Linked DNA regions of Macaca fascicularis. The protein of the gene in region 1 purifies or fractionates together with the protein of each later gene. This does not show direct contact. Links are inferred from orthologs where the notes say so. Each region holds a gene or a part of one and is shown in the gene's direction. Other genes may lie near its edges. The genes, in order: OSBPL9, VAPA and VAPB.

Evidence for each region.
Region 2: the proteins of OSBPL9 (region 1) and VAPA purify together in Homo sapiens (co-immunoprecipitation; 5 studies listed by BioGRID and IntAct, counting the BioPlex papers as one, with this or other methods). This does not show direct contact. The link is inferred for Macaca fascicularis from reciprocal best matches to the Homo sapiens genes OSBPL9 and VAPA.
Region 3: the proteins of OSBPL9 (region 1) and VAPB purify together in Homo sapiens (affinity purification with mass spectrometry; 7 studies listed by BioGRID and IntAct, counting the BioPlex papers as one, with this or other methods). This does not show direct contact. The link is inferred for Macaca fascicularis from reciprocal best matches to the Homo sapiens genes OSBPL9 and VAPB.

The regions. Positions count from the first base shown.
Region 1 is NC_088375.1:183,120,530-183,124,281, reverse strand, and holds the start of OSBPL9 (oxysterol-binding protein-related protein 9), read left to right. Parts: upstream 1-1,173; 5' UTR 1,174-1,197; coding exon 1,198-1,362; intron 1,363-3,752. UniProt on the Homo sapiens protein: Interacts with OSBPL11 to function as lipid transfer proteins.
Region 2 is NC_088392.1:78,301,813-78,304,626, forward strand, and holds the end of VAPA (vesicle-associated membrane protein-associated protein A), read left to right. Parts: intron 1-1,399; coding exon 1,400-1,558; 3' UTR 1,559-2,168; downstream 2,169-2,814. UniProt on the Homo sapiens protein: Endoplasmic reticulum (ER)-anchored protein that mediates the formation of contact sites between the ER and endosomes via interaction with FFAT motif-containing proteins such as STARD3 or WDR44.
Region 3 is NC_088384.1:114,456,602-114,460,288, forward strand, and holds the start of VAPB (vesicle-associated membrane protein-associated protein B/C), read left to right. Parts: upstream 1-862; 5' UTR 863-1,094; coding exon 1,095-1,152; intron 1,153-3,687. UniProt on the Homo sapiens protein: Endoplasmic reticulum (ER)-anchored protein that mediates the formation of contact sites between the ER and endosomes via interaction with FFAT motif-containing proteins such as STARD3 or WDR44.

The DNA.
Region 1 (3,752 bases):
CGTTGGGTGTTAGTGATCTATCCCTACTTCTTTGTCCTTGTCTCCCACCACTTTCTCCCTGGCTCACTGCTCCACGCACACTGACCTCCTTGCTGATCCCTCAAGATGCCACGCTCACTCCTAAAATCTGGTCTTTGCATTTGCTATTCCTTCGTCTTGGAAGGCTCTTCCACCAGGCTCCCTCCTTCACTTTCTTCAGCTCTTTGCTTAAAAGTTACCTTTTCATTCAGGCCTTCCCTTCCTTTAAATTTGGGAATTTAAAATAGCAGCCCCAACGCTCTCTCCTCCCTTGATTATGTTTTTCTCCATAGCATTTATGATTTTTTTTTTTTTTTTTTTTTTTGAGACGGAGTCTCACGCTGTTGCCCAGGCTGGAGTGCAGTGGCGCGATCTCGGCTCACTGCAAGCTCCGCCTCCCGGGTTCCCGCCATTCTCCTGCCTCAGCCTTCTGAGTAGCTGGGACTACAGGCGCCCGCCACCGCGCCCGGCTAATTTTTTGTATTTTTAGTAGAGACGGGGTTTCACTGTGGTCTCGATCTCCTGACCTTGTGATCCGCCCGCCTCGGCCTCCCAAAGTGCTGGGATTACAGGCTTGAGCCACCGCGCCCGGCCTTTTTTTTTTTTTTTTTTTTGAGACGGAGTCTCGCTCTGCCGCCCAGGCTGGAGTGCAGTGGCCGGATCTCAGCTCACTGCAAGCTCCGCCTCCCAGGTTCAGGCCATTCTCCTGACTCAGCCTCCCGAGTAGCTGGGACTACATATGATTTTTTAATGTATGATATAATTTACTATTTATTTTACCATTCCCCTCACCTGTCATGAAGGCTCTGTTGTATCCCCAATGCCTAGAAGAATGCCTAGCACAAAATAGCGAATATTTATTAAATGAATGAATTTGTGGAATGAATGCATAAATGAATATCAGATATGAAATCTTTTGGAAGTGGAAGGTATCATGGCCAGTAAAATTATTTATTAATATGTTCATAATCTTTTTTCTTTAATCCCATGATAGATTGTAAATAATCTTAATAGCAGTATTCGCGTTTGCATTCTCGCATCCCTGGCAATGGAGTCCTACACACAATAGGCGCCCAAAGAAAGCATGTTTGACTTGATCGCTGGGAGCATCCGCCGGCACCGCCCAGGACCCGCCCCGAACCCGCCCCGCCCCCTGTAGCCCCGCCCCCCGCATGCTGAATGCCATATAGGCGAGTGACGTCAGGCCGTTTGTTGTCATTGGCGGCTCCCAAGATGGCGTCCATCATGGAAGGGCCGCTGAGCAAATGGACTAACGTGATGAAGGGCTGGCAGTACCGTTGGTTCGTGCTGGACTACAATGCAGGACTGCTTTCCTACTACACGGTGAGTCCTTGGAGGGCACAGCTCCAGGCGCCTCGGGGCCGCGTTTCCTGGGTGGAGGTGGGGAACCGGGGTTTTAGGTGGCTGAGTTGAGATTGCTAGTCTGGGGGTGCCGCCGTACGAGAGGGTTCCCTTGTTGGGGAGGGTTCTACGTCTCGGATAGCCAATGAGGGTGAGGGAGAGAGGGGCGCAGCCAATAAATAGAAACTAGCTGTCTGATTTATGGGTTGGGGGTGAGCCAAGTTTCTTTCTTAGGGTCCGCTGTTAAGCGATAGTGGGGTGCGGCATGGTTGTGAGTGGGTAAGGGTGGTCGTAGTCATGGCTTAAAAGGTCCAGTCGTGCGGTTCATGCCGTCTTCATATGTTGTCGTGGACTTGACACTGTCCCACCAGGCCCGGTAGCCGGCCGCACCCCTTAGCTTCCCTCCAGGGATTGAAGCGCTCTGCGTCTTCGGAAGAGTGACCGGAGGAGCCGGGACAGGTCCAAAGGTGACCAGCTCTCGGGCAACACCAGGGGGTCCGAAATCCCTCCAGTCGGTTCAGGTTGTGTGTCTCATTCAAGGGACGCACCCCTCTATTTAGCGGGAGGCGAGCTCAAACGACGCCTTAACTTTTGAGAGCAGAGGATTTCCTACACGCGAGTCTCTTGTCAGCGAAGAGAGACAAGGGATAGTGCAGTGTCCTCTTATAGTTATATTCTGGGTTCAGGGCTTCACTGTTAACATGAGTTGGTGGCTATGGACAAGTAGATGAATTGCTATGAATCTTATGTGGTTTTTTGTTTTGCTTTGTGTGTGTGTGTGTGGTTTTTTGTTTTTGAGACGGAGTCTCGCCCTGTCGCCCAGGCTGGCGTGCAGTGGCATAATCTCAGCTCGCTGCAACCTCTGCCTCCCGGGTTCAAGCGATTCTCCTGCCTCTGCCTCCCGAGTAGCTGGGATCACAGGCATGCGCCACCACACCCAGCTAATTCTTGTATTTTTAGTAGAGACGGGGTTTCACCATGTTGGCCAGGCTGGTCTTGAATTTCTGACCTCAGGTGTTCCGCCCGCCTCGGCCTCCCAAAGTGCTGCCGGACGTGAGCCACCGCGTGCGGCCTTGAATCTTATGTTTTGACTATCCCCTCCACCCTCATCGCATTCGATATGGAGGGTGGGTGGTATTAGGGAGGTAACTTACTTAGAAAGGTACTTTCTCCGAATGGTGTATAGTTAACGATAGCTGATATGAGGGAAGAAAATACTTAAAAGGACAAAATAGAATGCCCAGAAAGCTTTAGAAAATAATAGAAGACAGAAAGAAAAACATATGATTATGGAAGAAGGGTTAATGTTGATGAGAGAAAGGGGACACTGAATTTATTTGTTCATTTAAAAAATATCATTGAGCTGCTATGTACGTTTTCATGCCAGCAAGAATCAACAGTAATAAAGACATTTACTGTTCCTCTTCTCTGGAGCTTATATAGTAGCTTAGTGAGTCCTTTAATTCATTTCACTCCTAATGACTCTGCAAGGTGGTTATTCATTATCTCCATTTAATATCCCCAGTAAGAGTTTTGAAAAATGAGGCTCCAGGCTTTTAAAGCAATTTGCCCAACATCACATAGTACTAAGTGATGGAATCAGGATACCAAATTATTGACTTTTTCTACTAAACTTCACTTTCACTACAGGAAGGAGAAAGGTGTAAGTTGTGAGTTACTAAAGGCAAGCTTGCAAAAGTGAAAGTATTACTTTCATCATCCTTCAACTGTCAGCTTTCTTTCTTTACATAGTTTTTAAAGGGAAAAAAAGACTAAACCTTAATGAGTCTTAAACACATTGTTGAAGATTGTCTTTAGGTAGGCATGAAAGAGAGGCAACTGAATATTATATCCTGAAAACTCTGGAATTAATGAAAGCCATGGCTTAGATAAAGGAAAAGTAATAATGGGGTTTCAGTAGATGTGATAATCAGAAAATCCCATAAACTCTATTCAAGATAGAGTGATTTCAGTGAGTGGCACTATGCAGTTAAGTTACTTTACAAATCCCAAATTTGTGTGGATCTGAATCTAGGACCATACTGGAGAGGCCCCCAAGCTGAGGTTCTTGGGAATGCCTAGCCCAGAAAGAATCTTCCTTTTTCCTCTTTTTCTTCCTTTCATGTATCCTTTTTCTGCTTTATTGCCCTTTTAGTTTTTGAATACTTGGACAAATATCTCCTTTCTTACTGGCTAAATATAGGGTTTTAAAAAAATACTTTTTTTCCCCCTCAATACTTACCCTTCTTTTTGAGACTAGATTCCCTAAAACATTATCCTTGCCAGAGAAAGGAAGTATCGTATTTCTCACTAATGACTGTTTAGAATTTTTTTTTCTTTTCTAGTTCTTTGATATTAAAGTATTTGCTTAC
Region 2 (2,814 bases), on another chromosome or scaffold:
AATTTCAGACCCTTTAGCATTTTATACACAGGCCCATCATAATTTTTTGCCATGTTAACTTTCTTGCTCCTGTCTGTTCACTATCCGTTTTAATTCCCCTAGCCCTATGGTTCTTAATTCACACTGCATGTGAATCACCTAGTGAGCTTTAAAAAGTTACAGTTTACCAGGCCTTCCCAAGACCTAATGAATCAGAATCACAGGAGTATCAAAAGTTCTGTAGATGTTTGTGATGTGTAGCTGAAACCGAGAATTACTACTGTTTTTATATAGAACTAATTAGCATGAGACCAAAAAAACCCAACTCCAGAAAATCCAGTAATGCAAATAAAACTGTGCCATTAGGTGTACTCTTTTAGTTAGTGTTTATTTATAAGCACAATAAAACAATCATGGGAGGTAACAGACACAGATAAAGACAACTGCATAGTTAACAGGTAGTAGTATTTTTCCCAAGGTTCACATTGCACACAGTGTCGTAACAACCTCCTGCCTGGAGTGACTTCTGCTTTCTTCTGAGAAACCTTGTCCTCTAAGGACATAGTGCTGTGTGAAGCCATATCAGCAAGGATGAAGCAGCCCACTCTTGACTGGAGGATCTGTCGTTTTGACACAGAGAAGCACCCTCAGTTTCCATTCCAGGTGCAGAGCTTCAGATAAGGGTTTCCTACATACATTTCTCATCTAAATTTGTAGTTCCTGAAGAAACAGTATTCTTTCTCTGCTTTGCAGTCCAGACCTGGTGCTATCCCTTTACACACAGCCCTCTGCTTTGCTTTGAGCTTGTGAAAACACTGTTACTTAAATTTCACGCTAAACCGTTTCCTTCCCCCCAAATTCTGTGACAACCGTATCTGTGTTTTTGGCAAGAATACCCTCTTGTGGCTCTGCTGTTTCGGTTCCTTAGTTGCAGTGGGTCAGTCAACCCAACTGGCAGACCACGGGTCCGGTAGTTTTTGACTGGGCTAGGACAGATGTAACTGATTTTAAATACCATGGGCCGCCTTGGAAGTACTCTTCTTTAATTATGTTTTTAGTGGGATTAAAATAAAAGGTAAATATAGCCATATCTGACTTTTATTTTTTAGGAATACATTTCTCAGCTCCAGTTTTAAAAAATCAGTGTTATTGAGGTATAATTTATATCCCATGGAGACACCCACTGTGAGTGTACAGTTCACTGAAATACAGAACTTTATAACTGTCACTGTAGTTCAGTTTTAGAATGTCCATCACCCCCGGAAAGTTTCCTTATGTGGTTAGCAGTTAATCCCTGTTTCTGTCCCCAGCCATAGGCAACCACTAATCTACTTTCCGTCCCTATAGATTTTTAGCTCCAGTAGTCTCATTAGTATGCTTGTTTTTAAAAACCTCTTTTGTGTGTTTGTTTTTTTCCTAGGATGAAGGTTTAAGGCTCAGAAAGGTAGCACATTCGGATAAACCTGGATCAACCTCAACTGCATCCTTCAGAGATAATGTCACCAGTCCTCTTCCTTCACTTCTTGTTGTAATTGCAGCCATTTTCATTGGATTCTTTCTAGGGAAATTCATCTTGTAGAGTGAAGCATGCAGAGTGCTATTTCTTTTTTTTTTCTCTTGACCAGAAAAAGATTTGTTTACCTACCATTTCACTGGTAGTACGGCCCGCGGTGACCATTTTTTTGTGTGTACAGCGTCATATAGGCTTTGCCTTTAATGATCTCTCACGGTTAGAAAACCCAATAAAAACAAACTGTTCGGCTCCTGGACAAATTGTATAGTACCGATCATCACTAGCAGATGTCAGTTGCACATTCAGTCCTTTATGAAATTCATAAATAAAGAATTGTTCTTTCTTTGTGGTTTTAATAAGAGTTCAAGAATTGTTCAGAGTCTTGTAAATGTTATTTTAATAATCCCTTTAAATTTTATCTGTTGCTGTTACCTCTTGAAATATGATTTATTTAGATTGCTAATCCCACTCATTCAGGAAATGCCAAGAGGTATTCCTTGGGGAAATGGTGCCTCTTACAGTGTAAATTTTTCCTCCTTTACCTTTGCTAATATCATGGCAGAATTTTTCTTATCCCTTGTGAGGCAGTTGTTGACTGAGTTTTTCATCCTTACAATCCTGTCCCATGGTATTTAACATAAAAAAAATAAAACTGTTAACAGATTCTTGCTCGATAGCTTGTCTGTGTCTGTCGTGTTATTGGAGGGGAGTCCACTATATATGGTCACTTGAAATTATGATGCAAAGGTTTGTCTTGCATTGAAACCCTCTCGGATATTACAGTGTTTTTAATTGAAAGTCCTAATTCTGTTCAGGAAAGGAGTTGATTAAATTTTGAGGTACTGCTGGTATTTTGGGAGATTATAACCAGTTTGTTTTCAAGATAACGGAAAATAAGGTCCATGAGAATAGAAGTTATGTGATTTCAGTGAGTTGACGTGTACAGCATGGCTGTGCTCCATCTGATTTTTACCCCATTCTTAAGTTCTGAGAGTATGTTCTCAAGGAAGATTTAACTCTCCTTGGTTTTAAAGTACTTTTTAACCAGCCTAGTAAGTCTTACTACTTTCCATAATATTTCATAATAGTTAAAAGTAGGTGTTTTTTCCTGCCCAATTTGGCACTCAAAATAATGTTCATTATGGAAGTTTGGTAATACTGAGCAAGCCTGTGGAATTTTCTTTATGAAAAATGATTTTGTCCTTTGCAAATGTTAAACCATGTGAAACACATTTTCAGTATAAGTATGTGTTACAGGGTCTGATATTTCCTGCACTTAGATTTGTCCTGTGTCTTCATTTATTCTTACTAGGATAGAAAAT
Region 3 (3,687 bases), on another chromosome or scaffold:
GAACACCTATTTTACTTTCACAGTGAACATGATATAATGAAATACAATTTAAACGGTAATCATGATGTAGAGTATCCATTTTTGAGGTCAAGCAGATCTGGATTCTCCAGCAATTTTTAATTATTTAACTTACTTGTGTGGTTATTTATTCAAAATGTCTCTTCACTAGGCTACAGTAAAAGGATTGGAATCAGGTTAGCTTTTCTGATCATTGTATTTCTAAATATTTATTGCATAAACAAATCGAATTTACTAGTAAAAATTCAGCACAGTGCCAGTTGCCTAATAAACATTTAACGTAGAGTAGCTTGTATTTATTGTAGCTGCTGTTGTCATTGGAAGCATTCAGCAGAGTGATACGAAATAAGCAATAATTGGTAGTTTATTATATTTATAATTATTATTTACAAGACGTCACAGTGCTTAGCCCATATCACTCACCCATAAACATCATGTTTATACTAAGTACTTTGACTATTATTCAAAGTCTCTAACAGTGCCTGGCACTACATAAGCAAGAGAAAAGTGGAAGTTTATTCTAATTGTTGTTACTGAATAAAGCATTTAACACGAGGCTGGCCCCCAGCGGACCCTTAATAGTTTTCGCGGCTGCAGTCGTAGCCGGACTACAAACCCCGCCTCCTGAGCAGCGCGAAGCCCCGCCCCTTGCTGCCCTGCAGTTCCGCCCCCGTGGCTTGTACCGCGCCTGCGCACTGTCCCGGGTGGGGCTCCACGCGCGCAGCTTTAGTCCCCGCCCCTGGAGCTGGCGGCGCAGGGCGCAGCTTCCCGCCGCCCGAGCGGGCCAGCCTGCTGCGTGCGTGCGTGTGTACGCCTGTGCGTGCGTGCGTGCGTGCGTGCGTGCGTGCGTGCCGTCAGCTCGCCGGGCACCGCGGCCTCGCCCTCGCCCTCCGCCCCTGAGCCTGCACCGCGTAGAACGACCCCCCCCAGCGCGCGCACCCCGTCGAAGACCCTCACCCGTGCCCCGACTGGTCCCCCCTTTTTTGTAAAACTTAAAGCGGGCGCGGCATTAACGCTTCCCGCCCCGGTGACCTCTCAGGGGTCTCCCCGCCAAAGGTGCTCCGCCGCTGAGGAACATGGCGAAGGTGGAGCAGGTCCTGAGCCTCGAGCCGCAGCACGAGCTCAAGTTCCGAGGTAAGCCCCAGAGGCCGCCACCTTCATGCTTGCGGCCCCCGCCCCAGTGCTGGAGGGACGGAGTCCGGCGCGGCGGGTGACGTCGGCCCTCGTCCCCACCCCGACGGCGCTGTCGTGGGGGCCGGCGAGGCCGGGCCGGGCCTTGGCGCTCAGCGCGCGCCCCAGAAATGCGCGGAGCGGCCGGGACCCTAGAGGACTGGTGCAGGAGCTAGGGCCTGTGCCTCCTCCCCGACCCCCAGCCTCCTGGGACTTGCCTTCGAGGCACTTGTCACTTTGCCTTGTAACTTAGTGACCAGTTTGTGATCACTTTAGTGTGAACCTCCGCCGCTGCTGTTGCCTGGAAGGTTCTTCCCCTGCTCTGTGACAGTGTTGACCTCAGGGTTTAGTTGAGGTATCACCTGCCCAGAGAGGCCTGCTGTGGCCACCCAGCCCACCGTGCACACCTGCTCTCCTGCTGTCCCCATTCTGTCACTGTTTCGTGGTCAGCACCGCACTTTTCGTACTCAAAATCACTGTTTCAACACTAGAAAGGAAACTGCATGAGGACAGGCTCTTGTCAGTTTGCTGCTGTGTACCCAGCACACATTAGACGCCTAGGAAATACCTGTTGAACCAACAAATGAACCTCCTCAGGCCTTCTGATGGGATTGGTCCCATTTTCCGTTCACTGCCTCCCTCATGGTGCCTCCTGGATGCAGCTGAGGGAGGCTGCCAAGGTGCTGGGATCCTTTTGCTCCGCAGAGCTGCCTGGAGCAACACCTGCGGTGGTGGGAAACCATGACCCTGGTTTCTCCCAGACACTATTATCTCTGTAATTTGTGCCTTTATGTTTTCTATGTTGTTCTTTTTTTTTTTTTTTTTTTTCCTACCTTCACCAGGGCCACGAGGTAAAAGGTCTGACATGCTCATTCCTTCTTTTTGCTTGTATCCAGTGATGTGGAAGGCACTAGGGAGGTGATGGATGAACAAGACAGACAAGGCCTCTGCTCTCAGAGAGCTTAGCTTCCGACGAGAACAGACAAACCAGCACACAACATCGTTACAGATACGTGGAAGGCCCTGGGGAGGTGATGGATGAACAAGACAGACAAGGCCTCTGTTCTCATAGAGCTTACCTTCCGACGAGGACAGGCAAACCAGCACACGTGATCTTTGCAGATAGTGCTAAGTGCTGTGTAGGAAATGGAACAGTTTGACTCCATGGAAGTTTACTGTAGATTGGAAGGTCAGGTCTCCACTATATCGCTAGCAGCGGGCTCACAGTAGATGTTCAGCTGGTATTAATGAATGGCCAGAGGTTCTCCAGTTTATATGTCTTATTGGGAAGTAGTGTAGGGTAACTTATGCAAAGTTACCCAGTTGGCAAGTGGTACATTTGAACCCAGACTTCAGAGTTCACGCTGTTAACCGTTATGCTGTCTGATCGCTGGGAAATACTCCAGAACGGTGGCTGTCACTTTGCCTTCCAAGTTAACAATGTGAAATAACTCTGAATTTACAGAGAACCAAAGGCTTTCCAATTAAAATGAAAAAAAACAAAAAAACCCCACCAAACCTACCGGGGATCGAAATTCCAGGATAGTACTTGAGGTTTCATGATGCGCTCATGGCTTTCTGGGAACGCCAGATTGGAAAAGGAGGCCAGGTGGCTAAAGTGGTGAGCCATGGTTTCCACTTGAGTTGTCTGAAGTTCTTTTTCTGTCTGGGAGGCCTGGCTTGGCTTCTCCTGAGAATTGGTGGGTTCATTCGGTTAGTCCACAAACATTTACTGAGTACCTGATCTGTGTGTCAGATACCCGGAGAAGCCAAGTCATATCAGCTGTACTCTCCCATTTTCCCTCAACCTCCTCCCAGTACTTTAGGGAAGGGGACAGATGAGAACAACAGCCAGGACAGGACAATGATGTAGGGTAGTTCAGAGTGCCCCAGGAGCATTGAGGAGGTCAGCTCCTGAAGGAGGTGTCATTTGAGCTCAGTTATAAAGGTTGAGTAGAAGAAGGCTCAAAGAAGGAAAGGGTGAGAACATTTCAGACAGAGGAAATTGCATGCACAGAGGCACAAACACTGAGATGACTGGGCTCCTTTGGGATGCCCAGTAGTTCTTTTTTTTCTTTTTTCTTTTTTTTTTTTTTGAGATGCAGGTCTTACTCTGTCACCCAGGCTAGAGTGCAGAGACGCGCTGTCTCACTGCAACCCCCGCCTCCCAAGTTCAAGCGATTCTCCTGCCTCAGCCTCTTGAGTAGCTGGGATTATATACAGGCGTGTGCCTCTACGCCTGGCTAAAAATGTATTTTCAGTAGAGACGGGGTTTCACCATGTTGGCCAGTTTGGTGTCAGACTCCAGACCGCAAGTGATCTGCCCTCCTTGACCTCTCAAAGTGGTGGGATTACAGGCGTGAGCCACTGTGCCCAGCCACCACTAGTAGTTGTGAATGACAGCAACAAAGAAAATTTGTTGTGGTTGCCCGGCAAGATGGCAGACAAGGCTGGTGAGTAGACAAGAGTCAGACCTCAGTCCCTTTATGCATAGATGCA